Linked DNA regions of Drosophila melanogaster. The protein of the gene in region 1 interacts with the protein of each later gene in a biochemical or structural test. Each region holds a gene or a part of one and is shown on either strand. Other genes may lie near its edges.

Region 1 (6,301 bases):
CGGACAAGAACAAGCAAAAGAACGGCTTCACAGCCTCCCACTCCACGGGTATGATGGTGTTGAAATCCTAAGCCATCCGCAATTTCAACATTTCGATAATTTACTTGCAGCCTGTGGGGGCTACTTGCGTGCCACTAGCCAGGTGCAGCAGTTCTATTCGCACGCCCGATTCGGAAACCAGGACTATGACGACGGCATGGACTGCGAGTGGACCATCGCGGCGCCGGACAACAGCTACGTCCAGCTCATATTCCTCACCTTCGACATCGAGAGCAGCGAGAACTGCACCTTTGACTACGTGCAGGTGTTCTCTGACATAGACGATGTGTACGGACAGTATGGACCCATGTACGGACAGTACTGTGGCAATGTGGTGGGTACACCTATTTCGTTTATCCGGAGAACATTTAAGCTAAGCATTATTTACTGCAGCTGCCGCAGGACATCAACTCTATGACACATTCTCTGCTGGTTCGCTTTAAGACCGACGGTTCGGTGCCGATGAAGGGCTTCTCTGCCTCATATGTGGCCGTGCCCAATTCCGGGGAGTATGACCACTCCGACGAGGATGTGGAGAACTCGTACAGCTCCGAGATGGTTACCCCGTTTCCGGGCTCACTGAAGAGCATCTACATCGAGGACACGCAGGAGGAGACCGACGAGTACAGCGACTTCAGCGGCAATCAACTGGTCTTCAATGGGCAGTATCGTGGCCGATATAGTCTGCCCAAACGGTACTACTCCGGAAAGGCATAGGGCTATGGTGGAACCACTGACCGTGCGCCAAAATACATGACAATATATTAAAACGGAATTTATTTAACAGATTTAGGCATATCGTCGCGTACATAAAACAGACTTTCCCGATCTTCCACGCGCACTCTTCTGGCCAAATCCAGGATATAATCAAAGATCCAATACTAGTTTTAGGCACTCGAAACACACATTGTTAGGTTCCAGTCGGCTAAGATCTGCGGTGGCAATTACTTAGACCCCTATGTCATACATGTAATGTACTTTGACTAGACTTCTCTAGACTCTGTAGCTAAATGTGCAATTCCTCTTCCCCCCTTGCATTTGACTGCTTTTTTCTCTGACGCATTTTCATTTTTTTCGGATATCTATATTCTATATTGTGCCATATTTAATGGTAATGATGGAGTGCATTTCCTTAGGCATCTTAGCATAAGTCAATGGGTGGCCCATATCAAAATCAGAACGGAAGTTAGGATAGAAAAGAGATACACACATATCTTCGGAAGCACCGAAAGTGGAGGATCCTTACAGATGGATTGAATTTTTCACACAGGCATATGTACAACTCTCGGATATTTGACTCAACTTAATACGTAATTATATCTATACATATTAAAACTTGCATAGTAACTATGTTTTAAAACCAAAACAAAACGAGTTTGAAGAATGTTATTTACGGACTTTCGGGTTTATGGGCTCATGGATTTATGGCCCTAGGTTCCACCTTGCCACGCCAGGCAGAAGCGCCATGGCTCTTGAATAGCATTTGAAGGTGGAATTACCGCGAAACGATTCGTTCATGCGGCGGATTTACGATCATTAATGACCTGCCCTAAAAGGCACGAACCCGCTTAAGCAACACCTGATCCTGGGCAAATGCCCCTGAGCCCGGCCAGCGACCCAGGTAGATGGCCACATACGCGTACACGTATAGATGGACAATGTCAAGGTGTGAGCAGGAATACCCAAATCAAAATCCATTGAATGCAAACAACAGGCGGCAGACAATGGTCATCCCGAATCGCCAATGAGGAGGGGTAGCACTCAGGTCTGGTTATGGCTCTCGTCTCTCCTTCTATTGAGCCGTCCCTTCGAGCGGTCAGTCGAGATTCTGCAACGGCCTGCCCTGCCACGCCCCTCGTCCACCGATTCCCCTACGAGTTGGGATCTGTTACCTGCTGCTCACTCACTCGATCCGTGGAACCCTTGTCGGCGCACCAGTATAATTCGGCAATCGCAGTCCACGAGCACTCAGTTAGAACTTTGAACTGGTTGAAGCAACTTCAGGGAACGAGCCCCCAGAAATACCCACGCAATGAAAGGAATGCGCCTTATGCCCATGAAAATGAAAGCGAAATTAGTTGTTCTCTCTGTGGGAGCTCTCTGGATGATGATGTTTTTTCTGGTGGATTACGCCGAGGGCAGGCGACTGAGTCAGCTGCCCGAGAGTGAGTGCGATTTTGATTTCAAGGAGCAGCCAGAGGACTTCTTTGGCATTCTGGATTCTTCACTGGTGAGTGGTGGAGTCACGTGGCCCGACCTAAAATTACAATCTTCAGCATTACCCAACAACAGGTGCCGCCGAAGGAGCCAAAGGATGATATCTATCAACTCAAGACAACCAGACAACATTCGGGGTAAGTTCCACTGGGATTTATACCGCACACAATGGTGCGCAATTAGCCCACACACTTGCCTTGGCCACTGGAGTGCTTGCCTTTGGGCACGTAAGTAATACCTGAGCTCATAAGCCCTCCCTGCCCATCTCAACCACCCACACAGGAGACGCCGGAAGCAGTCGCATAAATCGCAGAACAAAGCCGCTCTGAGATTACCCCCACCATTTCTGTGGACCGATGACGCTGTTGATGTCCTGCAGCATAGTCACTCACCCACTTTAAATGGGCAACCAATCCAGAGAAGGCGAAGAGCTGTGACCGTGAGGAAGGAGCGAACTTGGGACTATGGGGTCATACCCTACGAGATCGATACCATCTTCAGTGGAGCCCACAAGGCGCTCTTCAAGCAGGCCATGCGCCACTGGGAGAACTTCACCTGCATCAAGTTTGTGGAGCGGGATCCCAATTTGCATGCAAACTATATATACTTTACAGTCAAGAATTGCGGGTAAGTCTAATATTCGTTCTATGGAGAATTTATAATTTATATCCCATCGAATAGTTGCTGTTCGTTTCTGGGTAAGAATGGGAATGGACGCCAGCCCATCTCCATTGGACGTAATTGCGAAAAGTTTGGCATTATTATCCATGAACTGGGTCACACAATCGGGTTTCACCATGAACACGCCCGTGGTGACAGAGATAAACACATCGTGATTAACAAGGGGAACATCATGAGGGGTCAGGAGTACAACTTTGATGTACTCTCGCCGGAGGAGGTGGACTTGCCTCTACTGCCCTACGATCTTAACTCCATTATGCACTATGCGAAGAACTCGTTCTCGAAGAGTCCCTACCTGGATACCATCACACCGATAGGGATTCCACCCGGAACCCATTTGGAGTTGGGTCAGCGGAAGCGTCTTAGTCGCGGCGACATTGTTCAAGCCAATTTGCTTTATAAGTGCGCCTCCTGTGGACGAACATATCAGCAGAATTCTGGACATATAGTGAGTCCACACTTTATATACTCCGGCAATGGAGTACTCAGCGAATTCGAGGGCAGTGGTGATGCTGGGGAAGATCCGTCCGCGGAATCTGAGTTCGATGCCTCGCTGACCAACTGCGAGTGGCGGATCACGGCCACCAATGGGGAAAAGGTCATCCTGCATCTGCAGCAGCTGCATCTGATGAGCTCCGACGATTGTACTCAGGATTACCTGGAGATTAGGGATGGTTACTGGCACAAATCGCCACTGGTGAGACGAATCTGCGGAAATGTCAGCGGAGAGGTCATCACCACCCAGACAAGTCGCATGCTTCTCAACTATGTCAACAGGAATGCAGCCAAAGGTTACCGTGGATTCAAGGCGAGATTCGAGGGTAAGTTTTAAACTTTTCAAAGAAAAACACAAACTAATTTTTCCATTCCAGTGGTATGTGGTGGGGACTTAAAGCTGACCAAAGATCAGTCCATAGACTCTCCCAACTATCCTATGGACTACATGCCGGACAAAGAGTGCGTGTGGCGGATCACGGCTCCGGATAACCACCAGGTGGCCCTGAAGTTCCAGAGCTTTGAGCTGGAGAAGCACGACGGGTGTGCCTACGACTTTGTGGAGATACGGGATGGCAATCACAGTGATTCGCGGCTCATAGGACGCTTCTGCGGAGATAAACTGCCGCCCAACATAAAGTAAGTTACTTTCAAAGGAAAAATGATCACTAACCAAGTGAATATCCACTTAGAACCCGCAGTAACCAGATGTACATCCGTTTCGTATCCGACTCATCGGTGCAAAAGCTGGGATTCTCAGCCGCCTTGATGCTGGACGTGGATGAGTGCAAGTTCACGGATCATGGATGCCAGCACCTGTGCATCAACACCTTGGGTAGCTACCAATGTGGCTGTCGAGCGGGATACGAGTTGCAGGCAAATGGAAAGACCTGCGAGGACGCGTGTGGAGGAGTCGTGGACGCCACCAAATCCAATGGCTCGCTCTACTCACCATCGTATCCGGATGTGTATCCCAACTCCAAGCAGTGCGTTTGGGAAGTGGTTGCGCCACCGAATCACGCGGTGTTCCTAAACTTTTCCCACTTTGATTTGGAGGGCACACGGTTTCACTACACCAAGTGCAACTATGATTACCTGATTATATACTCCAAAATGAGGGATAATCGCCTGAAGAAGATTGGCATTTATTGTGGTCATGAACTACCTCCAGTGGTGAATTCCGAGCAGAGTATCCTCAGGCTGGAGTTCTACTCGGATCGCACTGTCCAGAGAAGTGGATTTGTGGCCAAGTTTGTAATAGGTAACTTACAGAAAAAAATTAATTTACGTACGATCTATAATATCATTATTCCACAGATGTGGATGAGTGTTCAATGAACAATGGTGGCTGTCAGCACCGATGCCGAAACACCTTTGGATCCTATCAGTGCAGCTGCCGCAATGGATACACATTGGCTGAAAATGGACACAACTGCACGGAGACGCGTTGCAAGTTCGAGATCACCACGTCGTATGGAGTGTTGCAGAGTCCCAACTATCCGGAGGATTATCCAAGAAACATTTACTGCTACTGGCATTTTCAGACCGTACTGGGCCACCGGATACAGTTGACATTCCACGACTTTGAGGTGGAGAGCCACCAGGAGTGCATCTACGACTATGTGGCTATCTATGATGGTCGCTCCGAAAATAGCTCAACATTGGGCATCTATTGCGGTGGACGTGAACCGTATGCCGTTATTGCCTCCACCAATGAGATGTTTATGGTACTGGCCACGGATGCGGGTCTTCAGAGAAAGGGTTTCAAGGCCACCTTTGTCTCCGAATGTGGTGGCTACTTGAGGGCCACAAATCATTCACAGACCTTCTACTCGCATCCACGATACGGCAGTAGGCCGTACAAGCGGAACATGTACTGCGATTGGCGCATTCAGGCAGACCCGGAAAGCAGTGTCAAGATCCGTTTCCTACACTTCGAGATCGAGTACTCGGAGCGATGCGACTACGATTATCTGGAGATCACCGAGGAGGGCTACTCAATGAACACTATCCACGGCAGATTTTGCGGAAAGCACAAGCCGCCAATCATAATCTCCAACTCGGACACCCTTCTGTTGCGATTCCAAACGGACGAGAGTAACTCATTGAGAGGCTTCGCCATCTCCTTCATGGCCGTGGATCCACCGGAAGATTCTGTTGGCGAGGATTTCGACGCGGTTACACCCTTTCCGGGCTATCTCAAGAGCATGTATTCCTCAGAAACGGGCAGCGACCACCTCCTGCCACCCAGCAGACTCATTTAGATAAAATGAGAGGTCCAGCGAAGGGATTTAGAGTTTAATGTTTGTTGTTGAAATTTGTAAATAGATTGTGAATAAAAGATATTTCGAGTCATTTTGTTTACCCTATATTTTATTTTTAAAGGCACATAATATTTATATCTGTGATAATACACATTTGAATTTGGCGCTATAAAACTGTGCAACGTTCACACTGAGGATATCGATTGGTGGTGTTAACACATCTGGGTTACTCACAATTTATGTAAAATTACACAAAATAATATTCCTTAGAATGATCTTATCATATTAAATAATTTATGTTTAAAAATTGCGGACAAATGTAATCCTTATATTTTTAAGTCTATCGAAAACCATTCTGAAGACCCCTAACATTTCACAATCGATAGGTCGAATTGTTCGATAGCCCTTTGCTCCAGCAATCAAGCAATCGAGTATCGGCGTCGCTTCGTTTCGAATTTCAGTTCGAATTTGGATTTGTGCGGCGACGCTCTAATTTGTTTAATTTTTGTTCGTTAATTGTGTTAATTGATTAGTTAGTCGCTGTGTTAATGGACCACTAAGTTAGCTGCGAGCCCGTTTCTGTTTAGTTCAAGTTATTTCTGTTT
Region 2 (7,712 bases), on another chromosome or scaffold:
AAATAGATTCAAATCGTTTCAATAACTCTATTTTTTGAGTTCACATTCTTAGACTTTACTTTCCTGATCTGTAATTTGAATCAAATGCTCACTAGACAGTCATAGAATTTTCCTGATCAAATGCAAGGCCAAAGTCTAGACGAATAAGGCCATTTATAATCAAATGAAGCGATGAATAGTTCAGAAAATATTAGAATGAATCTTTAGATGTTTAAGGTAACTTTAAGCTTGCAGTTCAAACGTGTAACTAAAGTCATAGTACCCCTATCAAGGGTATAAGCATCATATATTGTTGACTTAATTATGACACCAAAACACTGTTTTAATTAAAAACTGAAATTCCAGAGGCCCGGCCACGATAAGCCGTGCATTGTGACGTGTTTTTCAGCACGCGCGCCACATTTAAAAATTAGACGTTTCGAGTGAGATTTTGCCTCGATCCTGAGTATACAAATCACGAAAGGTATATTGTGCGATTCCATCGCATTATATTTGAGGTGAATGCTTTATTGTGAAATCTCAAGGTAAACAAAACTCGGAACGGACTTAATCAGTCGATTGGCATGAGGTTTGAAAGTGAAACACAGCGATACGCAATCAGAGCCAGCATTTAATTAATATTAGCCATTTACATACTATTGTCCTCCGAGGTAATCTCAAGAGACCCATGCTCGACGGGCGTGAAAACTTCAAAATTATGATATCACACATGGTAATCAATTGAAGCAGCCAGCAAGTTAAAAACAAGAAACCCCAAACGTCGTAAAAGCCACATCGTAAATTGGTCAAGAGGAAAGCGATTAGCTGGCCAAGAGCTAAACAAAAACAGGAAGGCATACGTAGGGTGGAGTCTGAAATTGAGTATACTTAGTTCATTCGTTATATTACATCTAATTGTTCAGTCTTTTACACGACATTGTTTGCATATTCTTCGATGATACATATGTACTTTCTTCTAGCATTCATGGTTATACGTCAATTTTAGTCATACCTCTCGCTAGTACCGCTTATTAATAGACATTGGGCCATCAAAAGAAAGCGATGGTATCGCTTTGGCTGTGAGAACCAATCGCCATTAGGCAATGTCGGCTATCAGGGAAAGTCAAAGGCAATCCGCTGGACTGGACTGCCGCTGAACTTTGGACCGGTTGGATCGAGCGATAAAACCCCACCGGCACGACGTCAGCTCACGTTTTTGGGTGACGAATGCTGGGGCTCGATCCTCATTCCCAACAAGCTCGAACTCACGAACGGCCATCGAACATGTAGCGCCGGCCAGCGAACTTGTTCGATGCTCCAGCCTCGAGCGGCGTGGGTGTTCGATGCAGGAGGCGATCGGATGGGAGCCAACCGGACCTAAAACGCTGCTGTGTGGGCCAGGGGGGAAAGCCACCCATTATCAGTGGCTCTCCCTGCTCTCCCTCTCTCTCTCTCTGTCGCACTTGCTGGAAGCAAAGTAGAATTGCGCATCGCTTAAAACGCAGAGCAGCGGAGTGCGCCAATGATCGGCGGCGTGTCTGTTATCAAACAAACTGAAACTCAACTGTCTGCCGCCCGAAGAGTGGGCCATACCCATACCCATACCCATACCCAGGCCCATACTCACACCCATACCGCTCCCCACAGATACCGTTAGTCGTACCGCTCCAGGCTTTTGTGGCCGCTGCGCCGCCCATCGTCGAATTATTCACACGCAGACGTTCCCAACGATCGGATCGAAAATTATTCAAATCGTGCAAATCGTACATGAAACTTGGTGTGAACGAATAATACTTTATGTTTCTTCAAAACATTTGTTTTTGCTCAGCGAAATATCAGCTCGTCATTTTGAGGAAATCAAGTTCAAGTGGTGAAATTCAAAACAATAATGAGTTTGCGAAAGTGATTTGCGAAAACAAATAAACGGACAATCGATTGTAGAATCACTCAAGGACATTTGATAAGCATCCCTTTTCGCAGAAGATTGCAAACAATGTGCTAAGTTATTCAAGCATTTTGACAATGGATTATTAATTTGGGTGAGTTACATAACACAAGGGCTTATTGTGTAAGAAGTTTAAATAAAAGTGCCAAAAATGTGAATTATGGAATCAGCCTCAACATGGGATACTAGAAATTGTATATTTTTTTTAGCAGTCTAATGCTCAATATCAGTTATTACCAAATCGCAGGGAAGTTTCTAGTTTCGCTTTTGGAATATCATGCCGTAATTAAAAACTAATCATGCAGTGAATGGTTTATCGATCAGAGGCCTATCTATCACCGATTGATTGATTGATAGTTTTCGAGCCTATAACCCAGGCGCATAACCTCCAAAAGCTCTTGGCGAATTTCGGCCACGTCGAGAGTCATTGGCCAAATTTAGTTGCTACCAATGATGATCTTATTTAATCCTGCACTTGATTTATGGTAGCATCGCCGATGAGCGTGTGGCGAGAAAAGTATTATGGCAGATTAATTTGCGACGCTTCGGGCCTCTGGCTTCTGGCAATCGGGGCAATCTCCGTGAGCGGTTCCAAAGTCCAGATCGTGGCATGCTCCCAACCGCTGATCGGCGAGAACGGCGTGATCGCCGTGATTTATTGCCAAAAACCGATGGAAGCAGCCGTGTTTTTGTCGCAGTGCATTCAACTGCTGCGCGCGAAGAAGAAATGCAAGTGATAATTGCCGGCAATTACGATAGCCCCACTCCAAGTCCGAGTCCCAGCCCCACATCCAGTCCCAGCTGCCCCGTAATTAATGCGAAAATGATACGGGCAGGCCCATGGAAAACCCCCAAGCAGAGTCGCTTAGTCAAGAAGCCATCTCCATCAAGCGGCTGTACTTTGCACCTCCAATCGACGCATCGCCAGACCCCCAACTCCCCATTCACAGGCACAGCAGTTTTTTGCTCCGATTTGCATCGACATGGCAACCGCGGAGTCTTCACTACAGCTTTTGCTTCTGATCACGCGCTGGTGGCGTGCTCGATGACGTAGCCATGACTGCCGGGCGTTAAATGACCTTCTTCAACTTCTGTCCCCCTTCCCAGCGGCACCCCTTTTCCGCGGGCCCCCATCACATCGCAGTCGCACGCCTCGGCTTCGATTCCTGCCTTTGATAAGTCGGTCAGTCAAGTCAGTCATTAAGTCCAGTGCAGTGCGGACAGCTCGAGTTACGTCAAAAACGAAGAGTACGTACAAAACGTGTCACATGTCGCGTGTGTGCTACAATCCAAGCCCTGCTTCCTGATCCGATCCCCATCCATTCTATCAGATCCCATCCCATCCGATCTGATCCGTCATTATGTGGCCCCCAGTCGCTTTAATCGACGTCAGGTTGGTTGTGTTGGAAAAAACAAAATGGAGCAGATTTTGGAACGTGGCAATCTACGTAGGTTGTGGAAAAATATGCGATGAGTTGATAAGTGGTGCGACATATGCTGAAGGCCAGGACGTCATTTAAATTGGAAAAGGGCCACTGGAAAAGTGTAATACCTTATGTAACTTATGGGAACACGTAAAACTAAACTTAATTGTGCAAGTCAAAGGTGTCATAATCTAATATGAAATTGGGGAGTATGCAATACTTATAGTTGTTTATTGTATTATTTCCTAACAAGAACCCCTATTAATTTGCTTTTGCTTAAGCCGCACCAACAATGTTGCCAGAATTCGCTGAGGCCTACAAAATTTCTATCAATTAAACGGACCTTCTCCTCCGTATAGTATAGATCATTTCTATTCGTCTCGATGATCTAATTGGGTTCAGAAAAATCACAGTTCGTGACAAGCGAATCGGGCACGTGTTCAGCATTTAAGGCTAAATCGAATAGGCGGTATAATATAACTCGTGATCTGCCGGCCTTCAAAATACTTTTCTTGACCTTACTCGACTGCTTCACATTTAGCCGAGACCAGAAATTCTGGCTGATGAAATTCCCAACCGAAATACTCATGAATTTCCCATTCGCATTTAAATTGGAAAACAGACACACTATGTATTTGAAATGCGCATCTATTAACCGAATCCGATTAGGATTGCCCAGAATCGCATGCTAAGCGTACTTAATTGGTTAAATGCCGCACTACATATTCCATGCTCCCGATTTGTGGACCAAAAGTGGGAAACCGCCCCTTATCAGCAACGTGTTCACTATTAATTGATTGACACACAATCGAGTCGGATCATCAAAGTCAAGCTTGATAACGCTGCGGGGTAATTAGCATGAATGGGCCACTCGACTCGATTCGATTCGATTCGATTCGGTTTGAAGCGATCATAAATTCACTTGATATCAAAATGCCCCATTGTGGCCAAGCGAGTGCCAAAAATGCCAACAGATAGTGACGCCGCCAACTGGGGGCGTGGCATTGTCAGGGTGGCGGGAGGTTAAAAATAAAATTGCAATTAAGAATTTTATGCAATTCGGTGGCTTGGCGTTTTCAAGAAGCTGATGCAATGCTGCACCCCACTTGCATATCCAATTGTCTTCGGCTAAAGAGAGAGCGCCATGTAGCCATAACCATGGTCTATAGTCATAAATCGAGACCCGAACCGCTCGGCTTGGATCCGAGTCCGCAACCGATACGAAACGATCCGTCAGATACGATGCGATTCGAGTGGTTCGGATTGTTTCGGTTCGGTTCGGTTCGGTTCGGCTGGCGCTCGCGGAACGATCAATCAAACGCTCGGCGATCGTCACATAAATTGTTCTACTAATCAGCCAACCGCTTCATTCATTCACAACTCGTTTGCGCTGCCGCATGTCGGAAGAGAAAGAAGCACCATACTATATCATAGACCATACCACAAGTGGAATACTATATAGACGCGCGATCCCAGCTATAGCTAAAGGCCCGTGCCACTCGTGTTTCGTGTCCGGGTTCAAAGTTAATGCCGCAACCCCCGCCGGATTCATCCGGCTGAGCAGATTCAGATCCCATTGGAGCAAATCGGAGTGTGCTCACCACGGTACGTGTGGGGTCCACGTCCACCTAATTGCCATCTAATTGAGCCCGCTTATCAGCGGATCTGCGCAACTACGCTTTCGATTTGAGTCGCACTTGGGGCAAATAGCCCATGTGATAATGTGAAATTGAATACTGAACTAAACTAAATCTTCCCGGAATTAATGTCAAAAAAACGATTTGCACTTTGCCACCTGCCAATTCGAGCTCAACGATATGGAATAAATGATGCAATTTGGTGCAAAAATTAAGCGAGACTTCGGGCTTAGTGAGTGATAGTGATAAATGCACCTGATCCGCTGGCATATTAAATTGCATTTTAATTGGGGCAGCGCGTTCGCAAATATTTATGAGAAAATTTAGGGCATAGCTGTTTTAATTTATTTGATTAATAATCGGAATGTGCTTACAATATTAACTAAGTTACAAATTTCTTCTTATTTGCAGACGAAACTTAACGAAAAGTTTAAAATATTGAACATGCATCATTCAAGCGTATAAGTCGTTGTTATATAAAATCATAAAAAACGCATAAACGTTTTAAAAGTGCTTAAACAAGGCTATAAAACGGCAACAATAAGTGAAACCAGCTGCAATTCTATGAGTTTTGTAAACCTGAAAGCCGGAAAAATTGATGTTTTAATGCTGCCAAACAGATAGCAATCAGCCCCAGCCGACAAAACAAGAGTGAAACCAAAGGCGATCCAGAAGATCATAAGATACATATAAAATATCTCACAGTTAAAAAAAAAGAGAAGTCATAAGTACATATTCAGAAATGGCCAAGTACTTTATAGCCCTGGTGTTGCTGGTGTGTCTGGCCCTGGAGAACAGGAACGTATACAATCGCCTGCACGCCCGCTCCCATCCGAGTTCCCGTGGCGACATCCTTCGTCCGCATCCTAAGCACCAGCCGCATCCCCATGTGCAGCACACCTCGCAACAGCTGCAGCAGCAACACCATATCCGGCAGCAACGATCCCGTCAGCTGAAACACCTGGAACCGGATCCGACCAGCGAGGAGGACGATGTACCGATCACCAAGCGGGAGTACTATGCCCGCCTGAGGCGCCACGTCATCCACAAGAGGCAGCACCTCCTGCAGCAGGAGCTCAGCTACAACCATCCCGGCTCCCATTCGGAGCAGCTAAAGGTGCCCCGCCTGTGGCAACACCTCATGGAGCAGGAGGAGAAGGCACACCGACATGTGAGCCCGCCCGTGGAGTTGCCTATCATGTACGGAGATGCCCCCGAGGAGTCATCCCTCTCCTCCGATGATCACTTTGATGATCTGTCGCCGCTGGACTTTGTGCGCAACGAACTGATGGCCGAGGACCAGCAGAATCAGGAGAAGGATCTCGATCTCGATCTGGACCTAGATCAGCAGCCGGAAACGCCCATAGAGCCAGAGCTCCCATTGGGTGAGAGGAACATCACCATTTCGGTGAAGTCCAGCGCCGGAGGATGCCCCAAGTGCGAGAGCAATCGCCAAGTGGAGCACATCACCGAGGAGCAGCTGACCCACTTACGCATCGAGTTCGTTAAGCAGCAGATCCTGGAGAAGCTGCGCCTCAAGGAGAGCCCCAAGGTGTCGGCCGTGGAGCTGCCCAAGCCCATCTTCGACGGGATGACACTCTCCCATCCGGACGATAGCACCAAGAACAAGGAGCTGGACGATTACTACGCTCGCACTAGCAAGAAGTTCATACTGCTCAATAGAGGTAAGCAAATCTAGATTTAAGCACTAGAAAGTAAAGATTGAAGCTTAACTTCAAAGGGAATCCTTTTACCATTCTGATTTTGCTAACACAACCCTTTATCCTTTATTTTTACAGAGGAGGTCGAGTGCAACCGAGCGAGAGATGGAAAATCCAATCCGTCCATGTGCTTCACCTTCAAGATAGACGACGCAGATGCCGAGGGCTTCGACGTGAGCACCGCCGTCCTGTGGCTCTTCAAGAACAAACAGAACCGCACCGACACGGCATCGGTGAACAGCACCAGTGCCCAGCAGACGATCGTAGTCTCCGAGGTGGAGGTGGATCAGCAGAAGGACTCCAAGTATTTGTCGGCGGCCAAGACCATAGCCATCCAGTCGGTGAATGTGCAAGGTGGGTACACATAGTATACATTAGTATAGCATAAACACTCATCCCCCCAGAGCGTAATCATGCCCAGAAAAGAATCGCACACGTTTGGACCTTTGGTCGGCAGCCGCGGAACGGCCAAAACTGACCCTCAATACCCTCGGGGGACAAATCAAAATATGTGACATGTCTATACTAGATGGGTATTATAAAAATTATAAAGAACGCCGATAAGTGCCAACGTTGACAACCGCTTGTTTGTGTTTTCAATTAGACAGATCATTGCGCAGATTCGTGATAGCACTGCTTGATAGCTCGGCTCGAATCTGAAATTCATGTGGGTGAATAACTTGACAAAGCATTATTCGTGGGTGCAAAAACTGAACTTTGGCCACAACCCAGCACAGTTGTGAGTTCCTGGGGTCAGTTACCAGATAAGAAAGATGGGATCTACGATTCTGGGAGAAGAGAAGATGGCTCTGTGGAACCCCCAACTAACCGCTCTGCCTTTCCTTTCGCATACTTTCAGATGAGTGGATGAAGATCGACATTGAGTGGCCCATCAAACACTGGATCAGTGGCCACGAGCTGAGCCACCTCATCCAAATCACCTGCGGTGGCTGCGATGTCAGCGACATGGAGGAGATCATTTCGGTGGACAAGGATTACCGGCCAT
Region 3 (7,792 bases), on another chromosome or scaffold:
TTTTTGGCTGGGAACACGGCGGTTTTGGGCCGAAAACTCGAGTATTCGATATTGTCGATATTGGGTTCCTTAAAATAAAATATATTATGCCAATGAATAAGAAGACTACACACAGTCATATGAGCGAATTACAAAAAAATATATTGCATTGTTTTTTTTCTTCAAAAACAGATATATTGTAAAGTTTACAATTTTTGTACAGTTAACTAAAAATCAAAGCTTTGTATATAAAATGTACTCTTAAGCGTTTTGTAGGCGTTAGAGATGGCGGATATTGGTAGACATTAAAAAAACCTCAACTACTTCAACTTTAATATAACGTATTTAAATATATTCGTTTTTGTCCATATCGATCGTATCGATGTCAGGGCCTGTAAAATCTAGAAAGTTCAGATAAAAAATTAAAAATTTCAGAGAAGAAGCACTCTCACAAGCTACCACGCTTACACTTTTAAGAAAGCGTTTTTATTTTTAGTCATTATATAATTTGTTTTGCCAATTTCTATCGGTATGCCATACATACCGCCACAAGCCGGTTTCTACTGATTTGCCTAATGTTTTTTGGGCACGATCACTCTTTCTTATTTTTATTACTGTATATTACTATTACTATATATTAATATATATTATAATATAATAATATATAATAGTAACTATAGTATATAGTATAGTATAGTATAGTAAAGTATGTTAAAGGCAGGAAGAATCGTTTCCGACTATATATAGTATATATATTCTTGATCAGGATCAATAGCCGAATCAATCTAGCCATGTCTGTATGGAACGTCTAGATCTCATGAACTATAAAAGCTAGAAGGTTAGAAGCATACTAGCTAGAAGCATACCGATTGTAGACACCTAAACGCATCGCACGTGTGTTGAGCCAACTCCCACAAACCTCCGAAAACTTTTGAAAAAGTTTTGATATTTTCTCATATTTTTAGTCTGTAGTCTTGTACATTTTTTTTTATCGATTTGTCAACAAACTTTTTGCCACGCCCACTCTAACGACCCAAAAAATGCCGCCGACAATTTTTTTTTTTTGACAAATTTGTGGATATTTTTTCATAATTTTATTAGTCTTTTAAAATTTTATGGATTTGCCAAAAAACTGCCACGCCCACACTTTAGAAAATTTTTTTTAGATTTTTCTTTGTTTTATTGTTTGTCTTGCTAATTTCCACCGGTATACCAAAACACTGTGATCACGCACATCCTTTCACCAACAAAACGCCCAAGAGGCTCACTCCCTCACTATTAAAGAATTATACAATTTTTTTCTCATTTTATTTCCCCGTAATATCCAACGATATCCCAGCAAAATTATGAAATTTCGCGTTTGCGTACCCACTAGTTATAACGGGTATAAAATAAAATTTATATTTACTTATTTATAGTAACAGGTATCTGATAGTCGGCGAACTCGACGTCTCTTATTTTTTAATTTGCCCTCGACGATAGCGTTTAATCCTGTGTTGAATAAAAATCTACTCACCCTCTTCAGCAAATGTAATTATTTCCTGCGTATTTCCAAAGAAGTCTTCATGATCAATATTTTCATGATCATCAGCAAAAGATTCGTGATGTCCTTTCTGATTTTCATATTCTATGTTGTGGATCGCTGGCTGATATCCAATGCTAGAGCGACCTTCATGGTACCGGTTTTTATCATGAGTCTGAACACTGTAATCGTTAAAATATTCATAATCATTGTGGCTCATCTCACCATTTTTGCCAGTATGGGTTTTATTATCAATACTATGATTTATATCTATAGGATATGTAGATTTTTTTAAGGCATTCTCATTCATTTGTGTGCCGTTGATGCCATTAACTTTTCTGACCGCTCCGCTTTTAAGCTCCTTAGGACTACTGTTATGGTGGCTCTTTAGTTCTATAGGCATAGATGCAATTTGAGAGTTTATTTTTAATTGACGGTTTTCTGTCCATCCGTTTAAGAATGAGTTTTTTTTATCGATTCGTTCTAAAGAACGATTTCTCAATACTTTCCCATATACATTATTTTTACTTATATTGAAAGTGAAATCGAACGGGGATCGATATTTATGATGACTGGGATCCCGTTCGCTTCTCTGATCGGTCCTTCCACCTCGGCCATTAAACAAATGTGATCCGGGCGAGGCAAACGCCCTCAGCTTGATAGTCTTCTGATCTAAATTCTTACCACTGCTCCCAAATGCATTGTTTGGTATCATTCGTCCACCATCGACTCGATATATTGTTTCCCAAATAAATTGCTTTGGTAAAGGATGAGATACATTAGGCTTGTGGCTAAGACCAAGCTTTGTCAAAATTTGCCGTTTTATTGACTCCAAACGAACTTCATCGCTGGGTGCAATGTTGTTATGGGGTTGATTAGTTTTTTTGTTGAAATTATTGTTGGAATGGTATTTGTTGTAGATGTTGTAGTCTGTGTGTGGATTATCTGTGTGAATGTGATAATTGTAAAGTGTTATGTAAAATTCATTATATAAATTTTTGTTGTTGTATGGAGTGTTTTTATGTTTTTAGTAAAGTTTCATTACCCGATATCACACAAGTTTTATCGTTTTTTAAAAATATTTTTTTGTCTTGCTAGCATTATTATTTTAAGATTTGGATTTATTTTTATGGTTCACAAAAATCTCGAAAAGAAATAAAATCAATAATCAAATCTATTTATAGTTTCTGAAATCCAGCGCCTATGACCTCTACTGTTTTTTTTTGCAATACCGAGTTTGACTAGTATTGTACATATTTACGTCACTGGAGCGACATTTCCTTCGTTTTTACGTTAAGAACAATATATAATTTTTTTATTTTATGACAATAAAATTAGACGAGACAGGAATACCTTTCAAGACTCGTAATGTTTTAATTCAAAAATATGTACGAAATTAATCGTGTAGCAAGCAAATTTTTCCAATCCTTAAGATAAACAAATTGCAATATTAAGATAAAAACTCACCCAGACTATGAAAATTTGTTCTAGATATTTTGTATTTTTTGTTATTTACCCTTTTAAGGGGGTATGAATATCCCAGGCTTACTGCGGGTGGTCCTTGTATTAAATATTATTTACATTACTAGTGGTACAACATTTGTCAATAGATATTTAATTTAATCATTGAAAATGATTTTATTTTACTTAAAAATAGCACAAAAATCTTACAAATTAAATTTATTTTACAAAAAATTCTGCATTGCAATAGTTTTGGTACAGTACGATAACCGCTTATTTCACAACAACTCACATCTGTTTTATCTTAATAACGCCAAACTCAATGTAGTTTTTTTTAGTCTCAATAAGAATATTAAAAGATTACCCTATATTCAGTATGTAAAAAATTTTTTTGAAAACTGACCTTTATCGGTGTATATGTTGGGCTTTCCGCTTTCATGGCACAAGGTGCAGCCCTTGTGACTCTCCAAATTCGAAGCATAATAATTACTACTGCTGATCCCATTGCAATTTATAAGTTTGACTTCAAACCAGACGAGTCCAATTAGAAGCCAAATAAGATTGGCTCTATTGCGTTTAATCTTTGAACAGTTACGCATTGAACCATGAATCGCTGGCCAAGGTGCTTCAATTTCCCTCAAAGGGGACACCAGTAGGCTTCTCTCTGACTGACTAAATAGTTTACCTCCTTGTACTAAGTCATAATTAGTTCCGTAATTTGTCTCCAAAGACTGGCATTTGGCATCGCTAAAATTAAGTCTTTGCTCAAAGCCGCTCATATTATCTTGCATTAGATGATGAAGTCGCTTAGTATATCTGTGCCTGCGTCGTCTGTGATTGCGTCGGCGTCGCCTCCTTCGCTGTCGTTTACGATTGCGACTTTTACAAAGCACTCTACATAAATTGTTGGACTTTACCTGTTGGTCGTTATTTATGTCATACGATGTATACCCATAAAGCAACTTTAGCTTCGTCTCCGAAGTGCTACTGGGAGTTTCATTAGGTGTGGTAGGAACCGAGACGTGCACTGTCCTACTGCTGGCTTGGCTTCTATCTGCAACTCCAGACTGGCCAGGCACGGAAAATATGTCTAGGAGTATGCAGCTTGTCAGGAGTGTCGCTACCGCAGTAACCCACCGAGCCAGCACTAAAATAACCGCCACAAACCTTGATACTCTAAGGACTTCGAGGTCAGCAACTTTTTTACGCATTGCAGCGGGTTGTGGAAATGACTTCCGGGAGCCAAGGCTGTTGCAGCAGTTTAAGTTAAAGCAGCAACAGCACTTTACAACCACAACGCAGCATCCTTGGCGACAGCAGATGCATTGACAATTAAAGAAACACCTGCTGCCTTTGAATGGCGCCCCCGATTGCGAATGATTAGAATCGAAGGCAAATCGCATCTTTGATATATGGCAAGCGTGTAGTACAGGCACTGTCCCTTAGAAACGTGGTACAAGTATTGTCAATTTTATTTTTCTGGTAAATATTTTTTTAATCATTGCAAATCTTTTTCCTTTCCTTTCCTTTCTGTCGTTCATTTCGTCTGCCTGTTCAAAATACAAATTTTCGATTAGATAAGTGGTAAGCTAACTGGAAATTAATATGGACACTAAACAAGAGAGGAGGCTACAAATTGGCAAATAAATTAAAAACACCGGAGAAAGCTATAGTCGACTTCCCCGATGCGAAGTTTCATAATTTTTCAGGGATATTTATAAATATTGTGCAAAAAGATACGAAAAAGTTTTAAATTTGTTTGAAAATGTGGGCGTGACCGTTTCGCTCGTTTTGTGGCCAAAGTGTTTTTTATATACAAAAATTGGTTCCAACAAGGCGGTGCAACAGCACATACTTCAAGAGCATCGATGGCTGTTTTGAGGGAACACTTTCCAGAGCGCCTTATCTCAATTAGAGGCGATTTGGAATGGCCGGCACGATCTGTCCCCTTGTGATTTTTTTCTATTGGGTTTTTTGAAGTCCCGTGTTTATGTGAACCGTCCAAGAGCCCTACAAGATTTGAAAACCAACATCCAAGAAGAAATTGCCATCATAACACCTGCCATGCTAACAAGACTCACGACAAACGCCAGAAATCGGTTTACGCAATGTATGGAGAATGGGGGACGTCACCTATCAGATTTCATCTTCAAAAAATATGACATGTACGTACAATATAAAAAAAAATAAATTTTTTCCGATGCCTACAATAGTTTTCATTGAGTTCTGAAAAAGGAAATTATGCTGCCGCACCCTGTATATACTTTGTATGCTCGGCAATGCTCCCTTCTACATGGTACTTACTTTTTAACGTATATAGTATACCCTTTGATTCTACGAGTAAGGGAATATATATACGGGTATACAAATCTTAAATGATATATTCTCCGAATACTTGTTTACTTGATAATTAACCAGTAATTGAACCAGTTTGCGTTGAAACGGACGGACGGTTACGGCTCTTACTGCTAGCCATACAGATGAACATATATTCTTCGTGTGGTCGTAATTGTCTCCTTTACTGCGTTGCAAGAAACTGACTTAAATCAATATACACTTTGAAAGGGTACAACACATTAAAATTAGTCTAAACCTGACGCCGAGCTTCGGATGGCACAGTTATTATTACGCCAGAAATACTTCATACCATGCACCAACAGAAGCGGACAGACAGACTCATCCGTCCCTTCTGAAGAACTCAAGGCGACACACAGACTGTGTCCAGATGAAAAGACCTACGCCTGAATGGTGGTTACTTAGAAGCCTAGCAGCGGAAAGGGATGAAGAGGAATTAAAAGCATGCGTTCAACAAAAAAATTTGTACATATGTAAGAAGGAAGGTGGTTATGTGTATAGGCTTATGATCAGTGTATGTAACAATATGTATCACCTTTTTCTTTTTAGAAACAATAAATTTTCAACTAAGTAAATATATTTCTTCACGAGAAATATTAGGGACACTATCACATTTTCACGATTTATAAATGTATTATGCTTTTCCTTTTAGCACGGAAACAATATTTTGTATCTCCGTTGGTTGCTAAATGACATTGCATACTTTGTGAAACTAAGATGACACTTTAAGCTTTTCAAAAGCTTTCTTGAAAATAACAATATTTCAGCGTTGCCATATTTGCACCAGAAATATCTGTTGCCATTCAAATTAGAAAGAATATCGATGCTATCGATATATGCTTCCTTTCACGATTAAAAAGTCGGCAGATTCAAATGGATGAATTTCAATAACCTAAATCATTTTTAAATCGTAATCGTAACTAATAAATAAAAATGTTGTTAAGCGTAGATGGAATCGTTTACCCAAAATTCCAAATTAGCAGTCGATCTTGTGTCGATCTATGTGCGCCTAAACATTAACAGATTTATCTGTAAAACTTTACGTCCAATTCAGTTAGATTCAAATCAAGATATAAATATTAATATTATATTCATTTGCTAGTACGAATGCGAACGCAAAATTTCATCATTTTTCTGGGATATCGATATTAGGGGGAAATAAAATGGGAAAAAATTGTTATACCTGTTATTCGTGGTTTGCGGGCTTTATATTGGGCGTTTTTTGGCAAATCGATAGAAATTTACAAGACTAATAAAATTATGAAAAATATCCAATACATTTTCATAAACGTGGGAGTAGCAGTTTTGGTCGATTTTAGCGCTTTGAGTGGTCGTGGCAAAAATGTTTTTTGCAGATCGATAGAAATTTACAAGATTATTAGTCTTGTATGAAAAAGTATGTATGAGAAAATATAAAAACATTTTTCAAAAGTGTGGACGTGGCAGTTTTGTGCAGTTTGTGGGCGTTAGATGAAATTATGAAAAACTATCCACAAATTGTTCAAAAATGTGGGCGTGCCAGTTTTGTGCGCTTTGTGGGCGTTAGAGTGGTCGTGTCAACATCTGTCAACAAACTTGCGCTGCGTCTATGTCGCTTGAATCTGTATGCTGATCTCAAGCTTTTACGTTTACGTACAGTACATGAGATTTCGAGTTCATTCGGAAAGACGGACGGTCGAACAGACGGTCGGACAGACGGTCGGACGGACACACGGATACACGGACATACGGACAAGGCCAGATCGATTCGGCTATTGATCCTGATCACACTTTATATGGTTGGAAACGCTTCCTTCTGGTTGTTACATACTTTCCAAATGTGAAATTCGAGTAAGTATTCTATTATTTTGCTGATTTTAGTTATGCAAATCGATATAAGGAAAAGCCCAGCAGATAATATTTCTTTATCCTTTACTTGTTAACAAAAAAAGGGTAAACCGTACTCTCTGAAGAATATTTAACAGAAAGAACAAAGAGGATGTATACGTAACTTCACCGGAATACCTACAATTATTGGCTACATTTACTTTTTACTTCCTTCGAAACGATTGCATCAAACTAGAAATAGAATACGAATATTTTGTTGTTGGTTGTTTTCATCATATACATACATGTACATAGACATAACAAATAAATAATTTACGTTTTGATACAAGCAAAAGCCTCGTAGGAGTTACTAGAATCTGGACGGATAACTTCAATTTTTTGATATCTATAGTTTTATAGGTTTTGACTTTTATAAAGATGGACCGACGGACAAGGGGACTGACTGGCATGTATCGGTCGTCTACGTTAGTGGCACGGGTTAAAAAACTTTATCCAAGACATTGTTTTAATTGGAAGAGTATATAAACCTTAGTTTGCCGATATCATGTTATTCTGGTTTTATGTGCTATCGACTTGTTAAAGCCCCTTCTGTCTGTATGTATTAACTTTCGGCTCCCGAAAATCTCCGGAAATAACTATATGTATTAT

Evidence for each region. The genes of interacting proteins can lie anywhere in the genome.
Region 2: of the proteins of tld (region 1) and daw, one has a biochemical effect on the other in vitro, tested with the Drosophila melanogaster proteins (one study listed by BioGRID).
Region 3: of the proteins of tld (region 1) and Actbeta, one has a biochemical effect on the other in vitro, tested with the Drosophila melanogaster proteins (one study listed by BioGRID).

The regions. Positions count from the first base shown.
Region 1 is NT_033777.3:24,747,725-24,754,025, forward strand, and holds tld (tolloid), read left to right. Parts: upstream 1-2,006; 5' UTR 2,007-2,071; coding exon 2,072-2,269; intron 2,270-2,331; coding exon 2,332-2,393; intron 2,394-2,538; coding exon 2,539-2,883; intron 2,884-2,937; coding exon 2,938-3,758; intron 3,759-3,809; coding exon 3,810-4,071; intron 4,072-4,124; coding exon 4,125-4,693; intron 4,694-4,749; coding exon 4,750-5,696; 3' UTR 5,697-5,786; downstream 5,787-6,301. Other genes in the region: tok (tolkin), read left to right, coding at 1-48, 111-373, 433-756. UniProt on the Drosophila melanogaster protein: Metalloprotease which cleaves TGF-beta family ligands daw, Actbeta and myo in vitro. Cleavage of daw enhances its signaling activity. Cleaves dorsal-ventral patterning protein sog. Processes sog more efficiently than metalloprotease tld which also cleaves sog.
Region 2 is NT_033779.5:2,803,584-2,811,295, forward strand, and holds the start of daw (dawdle), read left to right. Parts: upstream 1-1,677; 5' UTR 1,678-2,018; intron 2,019-4,738; exon of another isoform or gene 4,739-4,953; intron 4,954-5,396; 5' UTR 5,397-5,727; coding exon 5,728-6,670; intron 6,671-6,784; coding exon 6,785-7,060; intron 7,061-7,565; coding exon 7,566-7,712.
Region 3 is NC_004353.4:1,078,762-1,086,553, forward strand, and holds the start of Actbeta (Activin-beta), read right to left. Parts: upstream 6,036-7,792; 5' UTR 5,853-6,035; intron 4,513-5,852; 5' UTR 4,366-4,512; coding exon 3,366-4,365; intron 2,447-3,365; coding exon 1,496-2,446; intron 69-1,495; coding exon 1-68. UniProt on the Drosophila melanogaster protein: Controls several aspects of neuronal morphogenesis; essential for optic lobe development, EcR-B1 expression in larval brains, mushroom body remodeling, dorsal neuron morphogenesis and motoneuron axon guidance.